Linked DNA regions of Notamacropus eugenii. The protein of the gene in region 1 purifies or fractionates together with the protein of each later gene. This does not show direct contact. Links are inferred from orthologs where the notes say so. Each region holds a gene or a part of one and is shown on either strand. Other genes may lie near its edges.

Region 1 (7,543 bases):
TAGGGGAACAGTTAGAGCCCTTGGCACAGGTAATGCTGATGACTGTGGTCACTACGAGAGCTATTTTGAGTACGGATAAGGTGGCAATGGTATGAAAGCTGGCAGCCACATGGTCAGCTCACTAGAGTGTTCTTTTGATCAGTCATTGATAATTTATCAAACTCCCACTTCATGCTGTTCGAAGCTACTAAGAGTATTTGTCCCCAAGTCACTCAGAGGGAGAGTTATTTATTAGTCCTAGCTTAGTAGGAGGGGGAAGCACCAGGAGACCTGGGCTTGAGTCCCAAGCTCTGATACTTACACTGGCCATGTGACCCCTAGGTCAAATTATTAAAGTGGTAATGTCTAAAGCCACTATTCTGGCATCAAAAGCCTCCATTTAAAGGAGTTCCTAATTTTCTCATCAACGGTTGCAAGTGGGGATTAAGTTGTACAGAATTAAAGAAGGCAAAGCCTAGTCTGTTAAAAGTAACAAAACAGCATTTTCTAAGGTACTTTTATTTAATCCTTTCCTAAACATTTTCCCATCTATTATCTCATTTTATCCACCATACACTGAAAAGACCAAGCAAGGTGGAGAGCTGCTATTATTCTCACTACCACGACATGGGAAACAAGAGCTTAAAGAGATGGAGATGATATAGTGGAAAAAATATTAAATCTGCATGAGGAGACTGGGGGTTGAATTTTGGCCCTGCCTCTTACTCTGTGACCTTGGGAAAGTCACTTTCCAGTTCTAATCCTCAGTTTCTTCCCCTGAAAAATGGGAATGATGATACTTGCACCATTTATCTTGTAGGGCTGTTGCCTTTAAAGGCAACAAAGAAGTCAGATACTACTATTATGATAAAAGTGAGTGAGGTACCCTCTTTTTGAGCCTGTTTCTTTACCTGTAAAATCAATAAAGCTTCAAACGCTACAGGAATATCAGATGTTATCATTATGTGACTTGTCCTCTTCCTAAGCCTCAGTTTCCTCACTTGTAAAATGGGGATATTTGTATTACCCACCTCACAAGAGCATGAGGGAAGCACTAAATCATAAGGCGATATAAAAAGGCCCAAGTCTTTGGAGCTGGCCCAGAGATGAGTCAGAAAGACCTGGGTTCAAAGTCCCTTCTATAACATAGAAGTTTCATCACCCTGAGCAAGTCACTCAAGATGATCAACTTTCTCAGGATTTAGGATTCAGAGCTGGACTGATTTCTCATGGTAGAGGGAGTTACCTTGTGCAGAGTTCTTTATGAAATCACAAGACCATACAAAAGAGAAAAGGAAGCGGGGGAGATAGAGAAAAGTAATTTGTTCTTATTATTACTAGGATGAAGTGACAAGGCCAAATAGGTCAGTGGCAGAGCAGGGCATTCTTTACTTCTGGCCTTAGTTTTCTGCTCTGTAACATTAAAGAATTGGATTCTTTCTAGAGTTCTTTATCTCCAACTCTGCTACTTTTGAGACCTTTGGTATGGTAGCTCCTCTCTCTCCCGCCATCACTCAGTTTCCTCCTCTGGAAAATAAAGGGGACCTGGACTGTCTCTATAGGGGCCCATTGGAGCTCCCTTCTGGTTCTAAATCTAGGCAGCTAGATATAACCACAGCACCATGCTAGGAGGTGGGGAAAACCCAGGGAATACCCTGGTTTTAATCCTGCCTAAGACACTTTCTAGCCACATGTGACCTTGAGCAAATAATCAATGTTTGCCTCAGTTTCCGTATTTGTAAAATGGGGATAATAACAGCACTTTCCACCCAGGGCTGTTATGAAGATCAAATGAGATAATATTATTGTAATTATTGCAACTATTATCATTACATCTATGATCCTTTCCCTGAGCCCCCCTTATCTCTCAGTAGAATGAGGTTGGCAGTAAGATTTGTAACATGGACAAAGCTCTGGACTTAGAGTCAGGAAAACTTGGATTCCAATCTTGTCTCAGACACTTTAGTGACTCCCTGAGCAAGTCATTTAATGTCTCTAGGCCTCAGTTTCCTCGTGTAAAATGATTGGGTTGGGATCAAAGACCTTTGAGGTTGCCTCTACTCTAAAAAGACGATTTTAGGAATAGAGCCCCTCCCAGATCCTTAATTCTACGGGGGGCGGGGGGGGGGGGCGCGTCCTTATACTGGGGCACAACCCTAGGGGCTCTTAAAAGGGCCTTCCACAGGTTCCCCTCCTGCTCCTCCCCATCCTCCTTCGTCCCCCACCATCCTCCTCCCCTCAATATTCCTCCCATTCTCCTCTCCCCCCCCCACCCAGGGTCCCCCCTCCCCAATTCTCCTACCCCTCCCTCAACCCTTCTCCCATCTCCCGGCCCCGCCCAGCCCTCGGAAGGCACTGCTCTTCACCCTGGGCCCGGGCGCCGCGCCCGGTGGTGGCCGAGGCTGACCGCCTGGCACTGGCGGAATAGTCCCTGCCTGCCGGGGGTACCCAGGGCCCAGAGGATTTCCCTCCTCCCTAGCCCGATCCCGAGGCTACTTACTCAGACTGTGCGCCCCTTCGAGCCAGGATCAAGCGGCAGGCCTCTCGTTCGGGGCCCTTCAACTCCCAGCCCTCGATTGTATGAAGGGGGGACAGTCAAGGAATCCAAGCTCAAAGCCAAGGCAGGGGTGCCTCGGGAGGGGGGCGCGCTCCCGCCCCAGCCCCGCCCGACCCCCGTTTCGGTCACGGCCGCCGCCCCGCCTGCGTGCGATAGCGAGGGCGACAACGACCGACCCCCCTTCTTTCCCGGGCTCCCCCTCCCTCCTCCGCCTCCCCCTTGACTTGGCCCTCGCCCCTCGCCCTTCCCAGAGGTGGATACTGTGAGGAACTGCACTCTGGTCGTGGGCCGATCCATCCGGGCGGGCGAGCGGACCGGCGCCGGGGGTTGTGAACACCGATCGCACGGTGTGAACCCGACCACCCAATCGGCAGCCCTCCTCCGCTTGCCTGACGGCCCGCCAGCCGGGCGGCCCCGCTTCGCCTGGTCTGCCGGAAGAAATTAACAGCTGCCCAGAGAGCTCCCGCGCTCCTACTGCGAGAGAGCGCCCCGAGCGGACAGCAGAGAGAACGAGAGCCAGTGAGCGTGAGAGGGAGCGAGCGCCTCCCTGCGCGCAGGGCTCCGCCCTCCGCCAACGGCGCCCCCGCGTGCTCTAGTGCCGCCACTGCAGAGCCGGAGTCTCGAGCCTCGGCCGCGGCTCCCCGCTGGGAAGCCAGCCAGCCAGCCATCTGCTGAGATCGCAGGCTTTCAATGAAACGACAATGGACGCCCTAGATCATCCTCTCCAACCTGGGGCCCTTCCAGTTATCCGTGCACAGACGAGTAAAAAGAGCTTGGAAAGCCTAACTTTCCTGTTCTAACTCAGCTACTGTATAGCTGGCTGGGTGACCCTGGGTGATATTTCGCCACTCATCCATTGGACCGCCCTAGGCACCTCGAAATCAGGCTGTTTCAAAAGGGCCCATGTGCTTTGGTAGATGAGGTTCCTTCACCAGAGATACACAGATGAAATTATTCATTGGTAGGTTCTCCCCTCCCCCCATCCGCCACATCCCCACCTCCCCAAAAAGTGCCAGGATGGTACTGTGCTAATTAAATTAACCAAAGAGACTTGGAGGAAAATGACCCCGTGGAACCTAGAGGCAAGAATGTTAGCTCTGCAAGACCCTCTGATGTTTACTGTACAGCCTTGTATGATTATGGGGCTTGGGTTAGACAAGGTCTGAGGTCCCTTCCATTTCTAGGATCCAGGATCCCTAAATCTGATCATTTCCATTTTGACAGTCTGTTCTGTGATTCGAATGTGTTTAATGATGCCCTGAGGGCCTTTGAAAAGGCGCGCGCGCGCGCGCACAAGCAGGCGCTCGCCCACCTTTCTCCTCTCCTGCTGCTCAAGTGCCCTCTGCCTGGTTCTTTCCCGCTGTTGTCCAGGGCAGCCCAGTAAACCGGCAATCCTGAGCATTTCCCAAGGCAAGCCGACTTCCCAGCCCTCTGAGCAATGGTGGAGAGAACCCCCACCCTGTAGGAGAGTGTAAACACTTCAGACCCCCCACCTGGGCCCATCGCCCGCCGACTTGAGGGTGGGGAGAGGAAGAACCAGTTCCTTGCTCTGCTCGGTTCCTAGTTTAATTTATTCTGGCTAACGAATTTCTACGGTACTAGAGTGACAACGTTCTGCCAGCAGGTAAAAATGTTCTAGCTTATTTTCTAAAACCATCATCCCTTTCTGTCTAGCACCTCCACCCCCACCCCCAGCTCAAACCACACTTGGGGTACCTCACACCGCTGCATTTATCATCATCTCTTAAATAGCATAGTTATCTGTGTGTGTACTAACCCCCCCCCCCCATTTGAGTTTACATAAATGTCTTTATCCCCTCCTTCCTGCCCCACCCCCCAAACTCTGGTCATATTTATCCCCGCCTTTTCTAATCACTAAGGTCTTGGTGATCCCATCTGGAAAATCCTGTGGAGTCTCCCTCCCCTTTCTTACTGCGCCCCAACACCCACCCATCCACATCCCACATCCTCCCATTACTCAAATTCCCTCCTACCCTGGTCTCTCTCTCTTCTCCTTGCCCCCAGCAACCAGATAATCTTCCCTAAAAACAGGGGGAAAAAGAAAAAGAAACAAAACTGGGCTGTTTTGATGTGGAGGGAGGAGGAAGCCCAGTCTGGAGAAACAGAAATGTCAATGAGTTAAAATCTGACTTGCCTGTTATATGCATAGTAGTGAGCTGGGATTGATACAAAAGAAAGTAATTTAAAAAAAAAAACAAAACAAAAAACCCCAGCAACCTTTGCCTTCCAGGGGCTTTACTGGAGTGGAAAAATAGACACTCAGATCAAGTGTCACAGTTTTCCACATGGGAATCCCTACTCTATAATAATATCACAGGCCTGGCATCCCTTCCCCTCCTCCCCCTTCCCCTTTTATTTATTCAATATTATACCAGTTACAGGAAACTACACCAGTGCAAAAACAATGTGGCACTAAAAAGTTGGGGCACTAAAAAATTTGTCCTATTTGTGTCACACTCAGGGTCATAGGAGCAACATAGCCAGTATGTCTATATGAGGGGTGGTACAAATGGCCTCAGATCCTTTCTTGACTCCAGAACTGACTCTCTATCCATATGCTATGCTTTCCGTAAAAATACATATATAGAACTATTATGGGGATTAAACTCCCTGAATTCAACAGGATTTGTGTTAAAGTCTCAGTTATGTTCAAAGCAGAGTCTGATAAAGTCTTGTCTAGATGGATCATTTATTTTCTCGGAAGGCAGGAAGCAGTGAGGAGACCTGCTTACCACTGGGACTTGAATAAAATGGGAAGTTCTTAACTTTGAAAGGATAAAAAAAAATAACTGCCATTTCTTGACATGAGAATAAACATGGCCTGGATGTCTGTGTGGGAAAAAAGAAGGGAAAAAAGATGGGCATTTTGCCTGAGTTCATTATGAATTTTAACCATGAGATAGACATCTGCGAGAAAGAAAAAAAAAACTGATATATCATCTTGGACTGCAGTGACTTAAAGTGGGGGAGGGGAGCATCCAGAAAAAGGGAGGGAGAAGAATGTCCTAAACTTGTCCTCTACGTTGGTCTCACCACACCTGGAGTATTGTATTTAGTTCATTTTATGGGGAATTTAGGGTTTGACAAATGTCCAGAGACAGCAGAGGGACGTGAGCAGCATCACAGCAGGATTATTGCTTAAGGAGAAGTGAATAGAAGAGATGGGAAAGTTCCAGGAATAGAATTGGACCTCAATATTGTAATCTCTCTGAAGGCAGGGCTTCAACTTGTGTAGATGCCCCTCAATTGAATACAGAAAATTTTCAAATGTTTAAATGCATAGTTATTTAATAACTCAATCAACTGAGTCATAATTGTAACATCAAATGACCCATTAGACTAAGCTGTCCAAAAATGGAAATTTCCCTGTTCCTGGAAATAATCAAAGCAGAGTCTGGGTTGCCCCTTGGTTCATAGATGGTCAAAAAAAAAGTTTTTTGGGTATCTCCAGGGTTGAACTAGTAGATAAAAGTCAGTCCTTTAAAGAATTACAATTCTTGGGGGTAGGGAGTGAAAGCAAGGATACAGGGGAAAATCTAAGTGATATGCAAACCAAAGATATCAACTAAAATTTTTTTAAGAGGTTACATCTATTGGGAAAGATAAGAGGGGCCTAGGTGGCAAAATGGATAGAGTGCCCAGCCTGAAGTCAGGCAGACTTCTTCTGCCTCAGACATTTATTAGCTATGTGACCCTAGGCCTGTTTTGCCTCAGTTTCTTCATCTGTCAAATGAGCTGGAGTCCTTAAAAAATGGCAAACCCTCCGGTTATCTTAGTTGAAAAAAACCCCAAAAACCCAGACACAACTGAACAACAAGACCACAAGGCACAAAATTGTTTAATATAATTAAAATATAGTTAAATATAACTATAATTAAAATATGATTGCAATTACTTAAGATAAGCATTCTTTTTTTTGACACTACCACCCCTATTCACCCCCCCTCCCTCTCTTCCTCCTTCCTTCCCTACACTGTTCCATTCCCACCAACTTCCTTTTCTACACTGGCCTAAAAAGAGCAAATGTAATATTTCTTTAATGGCACTTTAGGAGGCCTCACTCATGAGCTCAATATTTTGCAAAGATGAAGAAAGGACCAAGGATGAAACACAGTGACAGTGTTCCAAGTAGGCCCACCCTCTGCCGTGAGTTGAAGCTGATGGGACACACACAATAGCATTTTAAAGCTATCATCAAGATTGAGGAAAGGATATTTAACATTTTCCCTGCTGCAGCTGCTATGTTAGATTCCTGACAGTTAGATAACTGTCAGATATCAAACTAAGAAGGAAAACCTTAACCGGATCATAGATGTGGAAAGCTAGGGAATAGAGGGGGCAGATCACTTTCGTCAAGACTGCAATACGAATTGGTCTAGGCTATCTTAAGCCTGCATACCATATGGCCCATGGGCCACTTGTGGCTTGCCAAAGGGTTTTGGGTGGTCTATGAAGGATATAAAAGAATCCACCCTTCCACTAGTCATTATTATTTGTGCCTGTCATGTAACTTTTGCCACTGTTCACTCTCTCCTGTTTGTCACATGACCTGTGGCAATCAGTCTGTCTCTAGTCTGAGAGGAGTGATTTCATGATAAAGGAAAACTTTGAAGTTTAAGGTTTAAAATTAATTGAAATTTCCTTTTTAAAAAATGTTTTATTTGCAAAATAGGTTAATCATTAATTTATACTTTCACTTGGAAAGTTATGGCCCAAAGAAGTTTAGCCTATTTTAATTTTGGCCCCTACCTGTCAAGTTGTGCAGGTCTGTATTAAGCCTTAAGAGTTCTGCCTCCTCTGAAGGACTCTTGACAGAGAGAGCCTAACTCAGATCCTCAGCTTTAGCGGTGAGAAATAGTGTGAGAAATAAAAATTCATTAAAAACTGGACTGTTTTCACTTGGTCCCAGAAGTCTAAGTCCTATGTAGAAACTGATTAGATGACACATGTAAAAGTCATGGCTGGACCAAGATTGGGCTCTACAGT
Region 2 (7,086 bases), on another chromosome or scaffold:
ACTACTTTTACATAAACTGAATCTTGCGTAAGGAGCGCCCTAAGCAGCAAGGCAACCAACTTCTAAAGCAATGGCTAATCAGTGTTTCTGACTGTGGCCAAGAAACTGCTAAGGAGTAGTTAAGGACACTAGTCAACTCTGCAATTTTGTTTTCTTGGGGCCCCTTTTCCTAGAACTTTGTAAGGAAAGGTGAAACTGCAAGACTGCAAATCAACTAGCTACATCTTAAAATATGCAGAATTCGAATCAAATATGATGCCTTCTCTGCAATTTAATACAAACCAAAGGAAACATTTCAGTACCAAACCACAGTGTTACAAAACCTGCAGTCAGAATGCATTTTGCAAGAGCCATGTGACACACACATGACTGTCAGCTAAGCTGATGGGTTGACCAGAGGGGAAGGGGATAGGAGTACAGGGAATTTAGCAGTAGAACTTCAAATTTTAAGAAAACACTCTAACATTAATCTTTCCTTCTGACATACCGGTTTATTTTAAAAGCATCCATTTCAATCACATCGTTACTATTTGAGTAATTTTACATGTATTGAGGGGAGGAAATTGGGGGGTTTGGGGAAGAACGACAGAATTTTCCCAAGAAAAGTGAATTCCAGTTACTAGGAAAGGTGCCAAGTATGTCACATCTGCTGTCGCTGCTTCTCAATTAAGCAAGAAAAAGAAATGCATTAACTTTTCATGACACGTCATGAAACCTCATTCCTTATCTGCAATCATTCAGGTAAGGTAATCCAAAACTTGCAGATCCACCAGTTTCTCTCTCTACTATAACTGTAAGGATGAGGACAGGGACAAGACCTGTGATTTCAGCAGCACCCGGAACTCTTAAGGGAAGAAACTCCCTCTCCCCACACAGGCTAGCACCTCCTGGGCAACTCTAAGGGGCTCGGAGAGCGGCGTGCCCGGGGGCCCAAGGGTCAGCGCGGAGGCCGGCTCTCCATCACCCTCAGGGTGACAGGCTGCCACACTCGGCTCGTCTGACACGGTGACGACGGGGAGGTGCGCTTGTGCCTGAGGTTTTCCTTGGGTCCTACAGAGAAGTGTTTCAGAGGCGATGGAGTCCTTCCGGCCCGAGTGACCAGGTCCTCAGGAGGGTTTTGGCTCCTCCAGAACACAGGCTCGGAGAAGTAGGGGCATTTTAAGAGCCCCTCTCCTCTCCCCACGGTCCCTGAGGAGCGTCCATGTTCACCTGCCGCCTGGCGGGGCCCCAAGGAAGGAAGGCAAAACAAGCTCCGGAGAAGCGGAGCCGTTCCCCTCTCCTGCGGGGGGCTGACAGCACCCCACCCCGGCCCCCCCGAAGTACCCACCCGCTTCGCGGAAGTCACCTCTCTCAGAGAAAAGAAGCCCTCAGCGGGCCCTCCGAGGCAGCCTCTCACAACCCCCCTTTCCTTCCCGGGCCTGCTTCGGGGAGCCTCCATTTCACCGGACCCCGCCCCCCCCTCGGGTCTTGCGGCTCCCTCTCAGCCGCACCCCCTCCGCCGTCAGACAATGGGGCCCGCCAGGTCCGGCTCGGCCCGGCTCGGAGCGGCGGGCCTCGCTCGGCTGCGCGCCGGTGGCCTACGGCTCGGCTCGGCCCGGCTCCGCATCGCCTGGCCCGGGCCCTGCGCTCCTCCTCTTCTTGCCCGGTGCCCGCCCCTCACCGCCCGGCCCAGCCTCGGCCTCGGTCCCGCTCCCGGCCCCTCACTCACTATTCGGGATTCATGCTGGACATGTCACTGCAGCTGCCGCCGCCGCCGCCGCCACCTCCGCCCTTGGTACTGCTGCTACTACCGCCGCTGCCGCCTTGATTCTCCGCGCCCGGAACCGACGAAAAGGAATGAGAAAGTCCGTTCCGGGAGAGCAAACGTCTACCCCCCTCCGCACCCAGTGAACACAATCAGCTGCCACTGCCGCCGCCGCTTCTGCCGCTCGACTCTCGCTTCCACCCAAAATGGCCGCCGCCGAACCAGGAAATAGGGAAGCCTCAGACCGAAGGGCCTTTACACAGCCCAGAGGGCGGCCGCACCGCACTGCATGCCGGGCAAGATAGTCCAGGCGCGCGCCTGGGGGCCCCGCAGCCAGATGGTTTGGCAAGACGGCTGGGACTCGCTTTCCCGACGAGCCCGGCTCCTTTGGCGCATGCGCATTGAGGGAGCTGTTGACCACCCCACTTTACCCCACTTCCCCCCCCTTTCCTCTCCCTTCCCGACCGTCTCTCGGGAGAAGGCTCCGCTCTGACTCCCCCTAGCGGATTGGCTAAAACTGAGCGGCCTCGGTGATGTCATCAGTGAAACGTGGCAGCTGGGCGAGTCAGCGACCTAAAGGAGAGGGGGAGGTGTCAAGGGAGGGGCTGAACTGCGGGAGAGGGGTGGGGCGAGAAGCGAGGGGCGGGGAAGAGGAAGGGAGAAAGGAGCCGGGAGGAAGGAAGAAAAGGGAAGGGTCCAGCTGGAGAGGAAACCCAAGGGGGAGAAAGCTTTAGAACGGCCGCTGAGTGGGAAGCCGCCCTGAGCCGGCTCGCTCTAGGGCCTTAATAGACGATCCCTAGGAAAAGACTTTGAAAGGGGCTGGGAGCAAAGGCGATGCCCCGGTGGCTCTGCGGCGCCGCGGGGAACTCTGGAATTGTGTTCGGGTCGGACCGCAGCGGTCCTGACTCCTCCCTCCCCCGCCCCCACCTCGGAGCAGACACGGTCTCCGAAGTCTCCTCTCCAGTCCGCCGGCCTCTCCCTGGTCTAGGTGGTCCGGTCGGGGCCTCTGATACGCTATGAGCTGGCTGACCTTGGGCCAGTCTCAAGCCTCAGTTTCCTTATCTGTAAAATGGGGACTATTTGCCCATCTGGGTTGATGGGAGGTAGCTCTTTGTACACCTTAAGAACCTAGGAGTTATGGCCTTTAATGATCAAGACCAATATTTTAAAAAAATTGTATATAACATATTTTTTCAATTAGCAATAATCTGCCTTCTCACCCTTCTACTCCAACCCTCTCCCCCCCCACGCACACTTGTGAACTAAAGAACAAATCCTGTTACATATAGCCAATAAAAACAATTCCCACACTGACCGTGTCCTTTAATAAAATTGTCTCGTTTTACACTCTGAATCCTTTTTTTTTCCTTCTGAAACCTCTATCAGGATGTGGATAGCATGTTTCATCATTAGTCCTCTGGAACTGTGGTTAGTTATTAGCTGATAAGAGTTCCCGGTTCTTTCTCCACCTTCATTTAACAACACATGAGGGAAGTTGCTTATATCATGCTATAAATTGTTCTGTTTCGGTTCACTTGGCATCAGTTCATACAAGTCTTCCCAGGGTTCTCTGAAACCATCCCCTTCAACGCTTCTTACAACACAATGGTATTCCAAAACATCATAATTTGTTCATCCATTCCCCAATTTATGGGTGCCCCCTCTGATTCCCATTCTTTGCCACCTCAAGAGAACTTTAAATATTTTTGTACAAATTTAGAATTTGTTTTGCTTAAAACTAACCCCTCCCTTAATCTACCCTTCTTCCAATTTTCCCTCTCTACTTCTCCCCTTTCGCTCCTATGTTGAATAAACTATATTTCTGTAAGCAGATGTATGTGTGTGTATGTTCTTCCCCATTCAGATGAGAGTGAAATTGAAGTGTGAGATGTTCTCTCCTCCTCTCTTCTTTGTTTCTGTAGATATCTATTTGTACACCCTAATTATGTCAGATAATTTTCCCTAATCTTCCTTCCCCTCCTCTATTCTCTTACCTTCTCTTTCCATTTTTCTCTTAAGGTCAAGAGGTAACAGAACTGCTCCTAGACTTTGTAGAGTTAGACTCCCTTTATGAACCCTGATGATAATAAGGTTCAGAGGGTATACATATATCACCTGTCTATAATAGAATGTAAGCAGTTAAGTCTTTGTTTAGGCAATTATCATTGTTTGTTCATATTGACCTTTTTATGTTTCTCTTACCTCCTGCATTTGAACTTCAAAGTTTCTATACTGACCTTTTCATTAGGAATGCTTAGAAATCCTTTATTTCATTACAGATCCATTGCCCCCCTTGTTGCATTATATGCATTTTGCTGGGCAAGTTATTCTTAGCCTCTAATTCTTTTCCTTCTGGGTGCTAAATCCTGTGTGATCCTAACTGTTTGGTATTTTAAATCTTGCTTTCCGGCTGCTTGTTGGATTTTTTTCTTCAATCTGGAAACTTCGGGGTTTGCTGTGATGTAGCTGGGAAATTTCATTTGGGAGCTTATTTCAGAAGGGAACTGGTGGATTATTCTTATATCTACTTTCTACAAGATGTGGTCACTTACCTTTTTTTTCACTCATGGTGTTCAGATAGTCTAATCTTCAATTTTTTCTACTCTTTTGTAGGTCAATTGTTTTCATTTTGAGCTACTTTATATTTTCTTCTATTTTTCAACCTTTTGATTTTGTTTTATCATCTCATTGTTTCATGGAGTTATTGGTTTCTTTTTAGTCCATTTTATTTTTCAGGGAGTTTGTTGCTCAGACAAGGTTTTATACTTCTTGTCCCACACTGTTAATTCCCTTTTCCAATCCTTTCAGAAATTTAATTTCTTTTCCATTTTTTTCTTCAAGCTTTTACTCCATTAATAAAAGCATCTCTCTCTGTCTCTCAGTCTGTCTCCCCCTCCCCCCCAGCAACACTACCCTTGTGTGTAGGACTGTGACCTAAAAAAGTGTAGTAGGCAACACAGATTTCAGTGGGCACCCGTTCCCATTACACTCCCCTAGTATGGATCTGGAGGTGCCTAGTTTAGGTCTGGGATCCCCTCTTGCCCTGAGACACAGTCTCTCCTTGGATGCTCTTTTCCTAACTTTATCACTCTCTATAGGAATCCTTTGTTTCAGTAAGATTGATATCCTTGTTCCTTCCCTGAGTATGCATTACCCACTCCAGGCAACTGGTCTTCGCTCACTAATTCTCTTGGCTAGGCCTTTCTCTAATTTCTATTCCCTTTTCTACCTCCACCTTGAAGACTTCTTTAACTACTCCAGCTAACTTCTGTATTCTCTAACCATTTAAAGAAAGCACCACTTATATGTACCAGCCACTAGGTACTTTATAATATAGGATGTCCCAAAAGTCTTAGTGTACTTTAAAGCTTTACTAATTCTCTTGAGCCTGTCAAGTAAGCAAGGAATTGCCTGCTATGGAAGGGTGGGAGGAAACAACCATTTGTTAGGCACATATTACATGCCAGGTACCCTGTTAAGTGTGCTTTACAAATATTATCTAATTTGATCCTCACAACAACCCTGAGAGGTAGGTATTATTAAATCATTTTATAGCTGACAGAGGTTGTCTATCTAAAGTAGACAGGTTAATTGAGTTGCTCAGATTCACCCAGGCAGTAACTAACTGAGGTCAATTTTGAATTCATGTCTTCCTGACTCCAAGGCCAATGCTATTACCTAGCTGCCTAGTCCCAGGCTTCTTGGGTCCTCCACTCCGTCCTCCTCCCTCCTAGTATGCTCCGTGACCTCCTGTAACTCCACCTCTACTAGGCCCCTCACCTGAGCCTGTAACCACTTACATACCTCCCTCTGTCAATGATTAACAAATTCCTATCCAGTCATACTCTCCCCATCACCATGACTCTGAACCATTGAAATCCACGTTCTGATTTGTTCAAATCCATTCTGATGATCTGGGTGGCACAGTGAATAGAGAGCAGGGCTTGGAGTCAGGAAGACCTGAATTCAAATGTGTCCTCAGACACTTGTGTGTTTGTCCTTCGCTGTCAAAGAAGACCAGGCCATCAGAGAACTAATGATGCGACTTGCACTTGACTTTGCCCTAGGCAAGTCACTTAACCCTGTCTGCCCCAGTTTTCTCATCTATAAAATGGATATATTCATAGCACCCATCTCCTAAGGTCATTGTGAGGATCAAATGAGATGAGATTTGTAAAGTGCTTAACACAGTGCCTGACACATGGAACTCTATAAATGTTAACTTCTATTACTACTATTATCATTATTTCCATCTTCTGCAATCCAACTGTCCCCATCCCTCAATGTACCACTCGAAACCTACCTCCCTCCTTCCACTGTGTTCTTTGGAATATCCACTCCAGAAGTAACAACTTGCTTTCATTTTAAACCCTTTCCTTTCTCACTCCTTTGGTCTACAGAAACTTACTGAGATCTGACTCCCTCCTAATAACACAGCTTCTCTGGCCCCCCTTTTCCACACTAACTGCCCTTTCATTTATACCCCAACTAATCATGGTAGGGGAATTAGAATACTCATTGCTCCCTATTGTCACTTCTAGGCTCTCCATTGATCATTAAGTAAACGTCTCCTTTGAGGTTCACTGAATCTATATTTGCTACCAATCAAGAGTCTGGCAGCTGTTATTTACCAACTTCAAGGACACCCTCCTCTCTTAAATGACTTCAGTGCCTGGATCACAGTCTCTTTCTCTGTCTCTCTCCCTCTCCTGCCCCGCTTCCCCAATTCCTACCCTCACACTAGGGGAATTCAACATACACTCTGATATTGCCCAAAACACCCTAACCTTCCAGTTCCTCAAATTTGCACATTTCCTATGCCTGCTTCTCCATCTGACCTCAAGTACACACAGACGTGGTCATACCCTTGATTAAGCCATCTCCCACATGTATGTTCATGAACTTCCATGTTTAGGAATTCTGAAATTCCTTTATCGGATCACAGCCTGTTGTCATTTCATCTCTTCCCCTGCCTTGCAATCCCAAACACTATTCTTTGTCCTCATTGCAACCTCGAATCCTTCTACCCCTCAGCCTCTTTCCATGGCTATCACCCCTTATACTCACTATACTCTCCTACTTTCCCCATCTTGACCCCCTGGGAAACCAATTCAAGTCCTCACAGTCATCTTTCTCTTATTCTATTGAAGATCTTGACCTTCCAGGCCTTAGCTCTGGATACTCCCACCATCCAACACCTTTTCTCCTCCTCTTGTGCTGCTAAACTAAGCTGAAGGAAATCATGAAACCCTGCTGACTGGGTTCACTACAAATTTATATGTAAAATCTCAGGTGGGCCTTTTTTTGCCTCAGCAAGGCAATACTTTTACACCTCCTTGATT

The links. Proteins that work in one complex are often made in the same cells at the same time.
Region 2: the proteins of OCRL (region 1) and RAB1A purify together in Homo sapiens (co-immunoprecipitation; 3 studies listed by BioGRID and IntAct, with this or other methods). This does not show direct contact. The link is inferred for Notamacropus eugenii from reciprocal best matches to the Homo sapiens genes OCRL and RAB1A.

The regions. Positions count from the first base shown.
Region 1 is NC_092879.1:51,287,811-51,295,353, reverse strand, and holds the start of OCRL (inositol polyphosphate 5-phosphatase OCRL), read right to left. Parts: upstream 3,022-7,543; 5' UTR 2,834-3,021; coding exon 2,798-2,833; intron 2,560-2,797; coding exon 2,480-2,559; intron 1-2,479. UniProt on the Homo sapiens protein: Catalyzes the hydrolysis of the 5-position phosphate of phosphatidylinositol 4,5-bisphosphate (PtdIns(4,5)P2) and phosphatidylinositol-3,4,5-bisphosphate (PtdIns(3,4,5)P3), with the greatest catalytic activity towards PtdIns(4,5)P2.
Region 2 is NC_092872.1:639,183,781-639,190,866, reverse strand, and holds the start of RAB1A (ras-related protein Rab-1A), read right to left. Parts: upstream 3,050-7,086; 5' UTR 1,732-3,049; coding exon 1,709-1,731; intron 1-1,708. UniProt on the Homo sapiens protein: The small GTPases Rab are key regulators of intracellular membrane trafficking, from the formation of transport vesicles to their fusion with membranes.